2 linked regions of the Macaca fascicularis genome follow. The protein of the gene in region 1 interacts with the protein of each later gene in a pairwise test. Links are inferred from orthologs where the notes say so. Each region holds a gene or a part of one and is shown in the gene's direction. Other genes may lie near its edges. The genes, in order: TACC3 and KIZ.

Evidence for each region.
Region 2: the proteins of TACC3 (region 1) and KIZ interact in binary tests that used the Homo sapiens proteins (3 or more experiments, as listed by UniProt). The two-hybrid records come from large-scale screens. The link is inferred for Macaca fascicularis from reciprocal best matches to the Homo sapiens genes TACC3 and KIZ.

What each region holds. Positions count from the first base shown.
Region 1 is NC_088379.1:1,885,206-1,889,016, forward strand, and holds the end of TACC3 (transforming acidic coiled-coil-containing protein 3), read left to right. Parts: intron 1-3,134; coding exon 3,135-3,241; intron 3,242-3,329; coding exon 3,330-3,450; intron 3,451-3,566; coding exon 3,567-3,632; 3' UTR 3,633-3,795; downstream 3,796-3,811. UniProt on the Homo sapiens protein: Plays a role in the microtubule-dependent coupling of the nucleus and the centrosome. Involved in the processes that regulate centrosome-mediated interkinetic nuclear migration (INM) of neural progenitors.
Region 2 is NC_088384.1:66,160,959-66,164,769, reverse strand, and holds part of KIZ (centrosomal protein kizuna), read left to right. Parts: intron 1-2,578; coding exon 2,579-3,224; intron 3,225-3,574; coding exon 3,575-3,811. UniProt on the Homo sapiens protein: Centrosomal protein required for establishing a robust mitotic centrosome architecture that can endure the forces that converge on the centrosomes during spindle formation. Required for stabilizing the expanded pericentriolar material around the centriole.

The sequences.
Region 1 (3,811 bases):
TGCTGGGCAAGGCCCATGTGCTGCTGGAAGGAGGGATGTCTGGGCCATCCATCTGCCTGGAGCAGGCCTGGAAGGTACCTGCGAGGCCACCAGAGGGTTCTGCCCACAGCAGTAGTGTTGGAGCGGAGGTGCTCAGTGTCTCCTGTAGAGGAGCTGGACCTGTGGGTGCAGCTGGAAGAGGGCCTGTCACCATTGGTGCAAGGGGCTGGGGACACCAGATGGGTCCCCTGGGAGTCAGACTAAACTAGAACAGTGGCCCTTGCAGGGGCTGGCTCAGCCACACCTCATCTCAGTCCTGAAGTCAGGTGGGTGTCAGTGGCTGGGGCCCAGCTGCCTAAGAGAAGCAAGTCTGAATACTCTCTGGAAGAAGGTGTCTTAATGCTTTAAATTGCTGCTACAGAGTTTTAAATTAGTGTCTGGCACAGAATAACCAAGTGTGAAAGGAACAGGAAACATGAGTGAAAATCAGACCTGTTATTAGAGTGAGGCATGGTGATATACGCCTGTGGTCCTAGCTACTTGGGAGGCTGAGGTGGGGGGATCGTTTGAGTTCGGGAGGTGGAGGCTGCAGTGAGCCACAATTGTATCACTGCACTCCAGCCTGGGCAATAGACCAAGACCCCCATCTCTAAAATTAAAAAAAAAAAAAAAAAAAGAAAACTGTTGATAGACCCACGGGAGCCCCAGATGTTTTAGGTGGCACCAGCAGGTAATGCCCCAGATCTGCAGGGAGCAGATGGGAAGGGCCTCGCGGCAGCAGAGTGCAGTAATCTGGCTCAGTACAGACGCTTGGAGAGGCTGCTGACTTGAGGACACAGTGGCTTTGCTGACCTTCCCTCAGGTTGGGCTGTGGTGTGAGCAGCTGCCTTGGCCTTGCCTCTCCTCGGGGTAGGCCTGTGCCTCAGCTCCCACTGGCCACCTCCCCACTTTCTCATGGAGGCTTCTTTGCACATCTAATCCCATCTCGGAGGACCCAGTGCAGAGTTTAAAGTAATTGCCTTCTGTGTTCAAAAGAGTATTGCTTCAGTAGAGACCTCGAAACTAGAAAAGAATCCCCTTTGGGAGGCCAAGACAGGCAGATCACTTGAGGTCAGGAGTTCGAGACTAGCCTGGCCAACATGGTGAAACCCCGTCTCCTAAAAATACAAAAATTGGGCTGGGCAAGGTGGTTCATGCCTGTATTCCCAGCACTTTGGGAGGCCAAGGCAGGTGGATCACCTGTCAGGAGTTCAAGACCAGCCTGACCAATATGGTGAAACCTCATCTGTACTGAAAATACAAAAATTAGCTAGGTAGGCATGGTGGCATTCGCCTGTAGTCTAAGCTACTCGGGAGGCTGAGGCAGGAGAATCGTTTGAACCTGGGAGGCAGAGATTGCAGTGAGCCGATAGCGCACCATTGCACTCCAGCCTGGGCAACAGAGCAAGACTCCATCTCAAAAAAAAAAAAAAAAAAATTAGCGGGGCATGGTGGTGCAGGCCTGTAGTCCCAGCTCCTCAGGAGGTTGAGGCATGATCATCACTTGCACCTGGTAGGCGGAGGTTGCAGTGACCTAAGATTGCGCCGCTGCACTCCAGCCTGTGCCACAGAACGAGACTGTCTCTAAGAAACAAAAAATACGGAAAAACTAGGCCAGTTTATGCCTGTAATCCCAGCACTTTGGGAGGCCGAGGCAGGAGGACCACGAGGTCAGGAGTTCAAGACCATCCTGGCCAACATGGTGAAACCCTGTCTGTACTGAAAATACAAAAATTAGCTGGGTGTGGTGGCAGGCACCTGTAGCCCCAGCTACTCAGGAGACTGAGGCAGGAGAATTGGGAGGTGGAGGTTGCAGTAAGCCGAGATCGTGCCATTGCACTCCAGGCTGGCGACAGAGCGAGACTCAGTCTCAAAAAAAAAAAACTAGAGAAGAACCAAATGGAAATTTCTTTTTTTTTTTTTTTTTTTTTTTTTGGAGACGGAGTCTCGCTCTGTCGCCCAGGCTGGAGTGCAGTGGCCGGATCTCAGCTCACTGCAAGCTCCGCCTCCCGGGTTCACGCCATTCTCCTGCCTCAGCCTCCCGAGTAGCTGGGATTACAGGCATGTGCCACCTCGCCCGGCTAAGTTTTTGTATTTTTAGTAGAGACGGGGTTTCACTGTGTTACCCAGGATGGTCTCGATCTCCTGACCTCGTGATCCACCCGTCTCAGCCTCCCAAAGTGCTGGGATTACAGGCTTGAGCCACCGCGCCCGGCCAAAATGGAAATTTCTAACAGGTACACAGTTAACAAAGTTAGCAGTTCAGAGGGTACAGGTCAGATGAGGGAAGCAGAGGGTGAGCTGGGAGCCAATGTGTGGACGGCAGCCCCCAGAGCCAGAGGGAGAGACGCTGCTGTGGCGGGAGGCTTGACCTGTGTCGACGTGAGAGCTTTCGGCTGCCACCTCCCAGACAGACGCTGTTGGGAATTTTCCACAGCAGAGAAACACAGGGCTGTGGGTTTATGGGAGGTGTGACCTCCGCAGGACATCGTGGGCTGCATGCTGGATGGGTGCTCCTGGGATACAGGGCTGCAACAGAGGAGTGGGGATGGCTGGGCTGTGAGGCTGCTGGGGGCACTGCAGGAAGAGGGCAGGTGGGCTGAGCCTTCTCCAAGCAGAGGCCACTCGGGGGCCCAGGAGCCCCTCAATTGGGGCTTCTCGGTCACTGAGCGGAAGGTGCCCCCAGAGCTGTGGGGAGCAGGCAGGTCTGGGTAACCATGTGGCTCCTGCTGGCCTCCCCTGCCTGTCCCCAAAGCACAGGGTCCATCTCCAGAGGGGGAGGGGCTGGGCTGTCAGTGGTCCCAGGTGCATCCCACTTTCCAGCAGCACTTGGTGCCAGCAGAAGCTACAGGTGTGGCAGGAGGGGGCGCAGCCGTGAGGGCACCAGGTTCAGGCCTGGCGTCTCTGAGGGTGGAGAGCCAGGGCTGTCCTGAACCTCCAGAGGGGGTGAGCTGGGAACTTGTGTGGAGGGGCTTTTTCCACAAGGAAAACAGGAGGTACTGCCTCATGACTGATGCCCCAGACAGCCTTGAGGGTCTGCAGGTCCCCAGACACCAAGCCTGGGTACTCTCCAGCAGATGGCATGGTACCCACAGCTAATGCCTGCCCCTTCCTAGAACGAAGAGTCACTGAAGAAGTGTGTGGAGGATTACCTGGCGAAGATCACCCAGGAAGGCCAGAGGTACCAAGCCCTGAAGGCGCATGCGGAGGAGAAGCTGCAGCTGTGAGTGCTGGGCGAGGCCCCCACCCTGGAGGGAGAGTCTGAGCACCTGGGCCCCAGCTCAGCCTCTGCCCTGCCCTTACCCGTCCAGGGCAAATGAGGAGATCGCCCAAGTCCGGAGCAAGGCCCAGGCGGAAGTGTTGGCCCTCCAGGCCAGCTTGAGGAAGGAGCAGATGCGGATCCAGTCGCTGGAGAAGACAGTGGAGCAGAAGGTGGGTGCGGGAAGCCCAGCTCACGGGGCCGGCTGGCAGCACCTTCTAGAAGGCCCTTGGGCCTGCCGCTCCCTCCAGGCAGGGAGAAGCCCCCGCAACTCATCTTCCTTATCCAGACTAAAGAGAATGAGGAGCTGACCAGGATCTGCGACGACCTCATCTCCAAGATGGAGAAGATCTGACCTCCCGGGTGCCGCTGTCCCGCCCCTGCTCCCGTCCGTCGTCTCGTCTGATTTTCTTAGGTGTCGTGTTCTTTTTTCTGTCTTGTCTTCAACTTTTTTTTTTTTTTTTTTAACTAGATTGCTTTGAAAAGATGAGTAAATAAAAGTTTCCTTTCAGTTTAAACCCTGAAGCCGCTCTG
Region 2 (3,811 bases), on another chromosome or scaffold:
AACTCTTCTAAAGTGACTGCACCGTTTTATATTCCCATCAGCAGTGTATGATTCTAGTTTTTCCACATCCTGGACAACACTTGTTATTGCCTATTGTAGTGAATTTTTTTTTTCCCCCCCGAGACGGAGTCTCGCTCTGTCGCCAAGGCTGGAGCCGCAGTGGCCAGATCTCAGCTCACCGCAAGCTCCGCCTCCGGGGTTTACGCCATTCTCCTGCCTCAGCCTCCCGAGTAGCTGGGACTACAGGCGCCCGCCATCTTGCCCGGCTAGTTTTTTGTATTTTTTTAGTAGAGACGGGGTTTCACCGTGTTAGCCAGGATGGTCTCGATCTCCTGACCTTGTGATCCGCCCGTCTCGGCCTCCCAAAGTGCTGGGATTACAGGCTTGAGCCACTGCGCCCCGGCCGTAGTGAATTCTTATAATTTTATGTTGCCTCAGCAAACATTTTAAATCTAAGTTGAACCTTCTCATACCAGAAGCAGGACTGAGTCACCCCGACACAGTTGGCAGTTCCACCTTTTTCCCCAGTTCCTCAGTGTGGTTGGTCCAGATACCTGCCTTACACAGCTGCTCTCTGGTGACCACTTCCCTATGGGATAGCTGGATACAGCCTGCTTGACAGGCCCTTCTTACCTTCACATTCCCCATGGACCATATGCCACAGTGACCACCTCTCAGTCACTGGGTAACCTCCCAAAACTCATGCCTGCTTGCTTTAAACTCACCAGTTAAAACTCCCCATGCTGCCTTTGGGAAACCTGTTTGGATAACACCTGGGACCCATTAAAGACATTGGCTCATGTGTCCTTCCCCTCAAACCACTGCTTCCACCATGTGAGGACACGGGTCCCTTTTCTTCCTCTCTCTGCCTGCACTCCCTGACGTTTGTGTGCTGGCCTCCAGGTATGCCGTGTACTCTCCAGAACCTGTAAGTGATAATGTCTTTATTTCTATCTCATATTTCTCCTAATTATTGGAGGGATACTCTCCATCTTAAATATCCTAAATTAAAACGTCTATCTTTCTTAGTATAGCCATTGATATGGGCTGAATATTTGTGTCCCCCCCCCGCCCCCGGCACAATTCATGTATTGAAATTCTAGGCCGGGTGCGGTGGCTCAAGCCTGTAATCCCAGCACTTTGGGAGGCCGAGACGGGTGGATCACGAGGTCAGGAGATCGAGACCATCCTGGCTAACACGGTGAAACCCCGTCTCTACTAAAAAAAATACAAAAAACTAGCCGGGCAAGGTGGCGAGTGCCTGTAGTCCCAGCTACTCGGGAGGCTGAGGCAGGAGAATGGCGTGAACCCGGGAGGTGGAGTTTGCAGTGAGCTGAGATCCGGCCACTGCACTCCAGCCTGGGGGACAGAGCGAGACCCCGTCTCAAAAAAAAAAAAAAAGAAAAAAAAGAAATTCTAATCCCCAAGGTGTTGGTTTTTGAGGATGAGGACTTTGGGAAGTGATTGAATCAAGGGGGCAGAGCCTTCATGGGCACAATAGTTTCTTTATAAAAGAGGCCGGGGAAATTTGCTTGCCCCTTCCACCCTGCGAGCACACAGCAGAAAGATGCTGTCTGAGAGAAAGCAGTTCCTTACCAGACCCGGAGTCTACTGGCGCCTGCCTCGATCTTGGACTTCCCAGCCTCCAGAACTATCAGAAACAAATTTCTGTTATTTATACACTGTCTAGTTTATGATATTTTGTTACAGCAGCATGAACAGACCAAGACAGCCATCATAGTGGGTAAAGTGATATCTTACTGTGCTTTTGAATTATGTTTCCCTAATGAGTAACGATAGTATCATTTTATGTGTTTATTGGCCATTCATATATCTTCTTTGGAGAAATGTCTATCTAAATCCTTTTCCCACTTTTAAGGGCTATTTGTCTTTTTATTACATAGTTATATGACTTCTTTATGTATTTTGGATACTAGACCCTTATCAAATACATAATTTATAATATTTTCTCCCATTGTGTGGGTTTTCACTTTCCTAATGATGTCTTTTCAAAGCATGTATTTCTTTTTTCAAAAACATATATTCTGTACTTTCTTTTTTTTTTTTTGAGATGGAGTCTCCAGGCTGGAGTGCAGTGGCATGATCTCAGCTCACTGCAATCTCTGCTGCCCGGGTTCAAGTGATTCTCCTGCCTCGGCTTCCCAAACAGCTGGCATCACAGGCACCTGCCACCATGCCCGGCTAATTTTTGTATTTTTAGCAGAGACAGAGTTTTACCATGTTAGCCAGGCTGGTCTCGAACTCCTAACCTCAGGTGATCTGCCCACCTTAGCCTCCCAAAGTGCTGGGATTGCAGGCATGAGCCACCACACCTGGCCTACTTTCTTTACTATGTTGGTTTTGTGAACTATCATTGTTATTAAAATTAAATTGTATGGACTTTACTGCTTTTTGCTCATTCATTATGTAGGAAGCCATGAGTTTAATAAAACGTGGTAGGTGCTGATTTCAGTAATCATGCTTTGTTTGACCTCCTTTCATTTCCGGGGGAAAAAAAAAAAACCACCTAATTGTTTATACACAATATGTTTAGCTCACATCTCTTTTGGTGTTGCAGGTTGCAGTGCAGGAGGGAATTAACTCAGGAACAGCCATGTCAAGAGGATTGTATCAACCAGCAACAATCTTTATGGGCCGCCAAATGTCAGCCGTCTCAAGCATGGGAGATTTCAGTACAGAGCACAAATCTCCCCAACCAACAAAGAACTTTTCAATTCCTGACCCACATTCACACCGACAGACAGCCCAGAGAAGTAATGTGACAGACAGCTGTGTAGTACAAACTAGTAATGACACACAGTGCTTAAATAAGTCTGACAACATAGATGGAAAGGCATCTCTTCAGATTGGTGAGAAAACGCCAGTCACAGCCAGTGTATTGTCTGAGGAGGAACAAACTCATTGCTTGGAGATAGGAAGTAACACACGTCATGGCAAGAGTAATTTATCTGAAGGCAAAAAGTCTGCTGAACTCAATTCCCCGTTACAGGAAAGATTAAGTCCAGAGAAGAGAACCACTGGTTTAAAGTGTGACAGTTCCAGCAGATCAGAGGGATCAGAGGGAGAAATACTGACACGGGAACATATTGAAGTTGAGGAAAAAAGAGCCAGCCCGCCAGTCTCTCCGATATCAGTTTCGGAATACTGTGAATCTGAAAATAAGTGGTCTCAAGAGAAGCATTCTCCTTGGCAAGGTGTTTCAGGTGGGATGAGAGGCTGAGTTTGGTTGCTGAGTTTTCTGGGTGGTAGTGATCTTATGTAAGGACAAAATATACTCTCTAATTATCTCTCTTTGTCATAAAATAGTATCTTTGCCAACAAAATCCATTCTAATGAACTCTTAAAAATGTACATGCAAGTGAATTTGCTGATTTTTAAACCCGCTGTGATTTTTTTTTAAACATTTGAAAATATGTTTAAGCTTTTAAGTTCCGTAATGAATTGTGTGTGGGCTGCTTCTCCGTGTTTTTAACTGATGAGTGATTCTGCTGTGTGTTACCTTGCTTCCCCCTGAAGTCAGTGATTGGTAATCGATTCATGTCCCCACTTGCAGATCATCTTGCTCACGGGGACCCAAAGTCACAAAAGCCCTTCAGAAAAAAGCAGGAAGAGGAGGAGGAGGAAAGTTGGAGCACCAGCAGTGACCTCACTGTTTCAATAAGTGAAGATGACCTGTTTTTAAAGAGCCCAGAACCACAGCCAAATCCAGGTGGCAAGGTGGAGGGAGAAGATGGAATAGAGGCCTTAAAATTAATCCATGCTGAGCAAGAAAGAGATGCCCTATCCACTG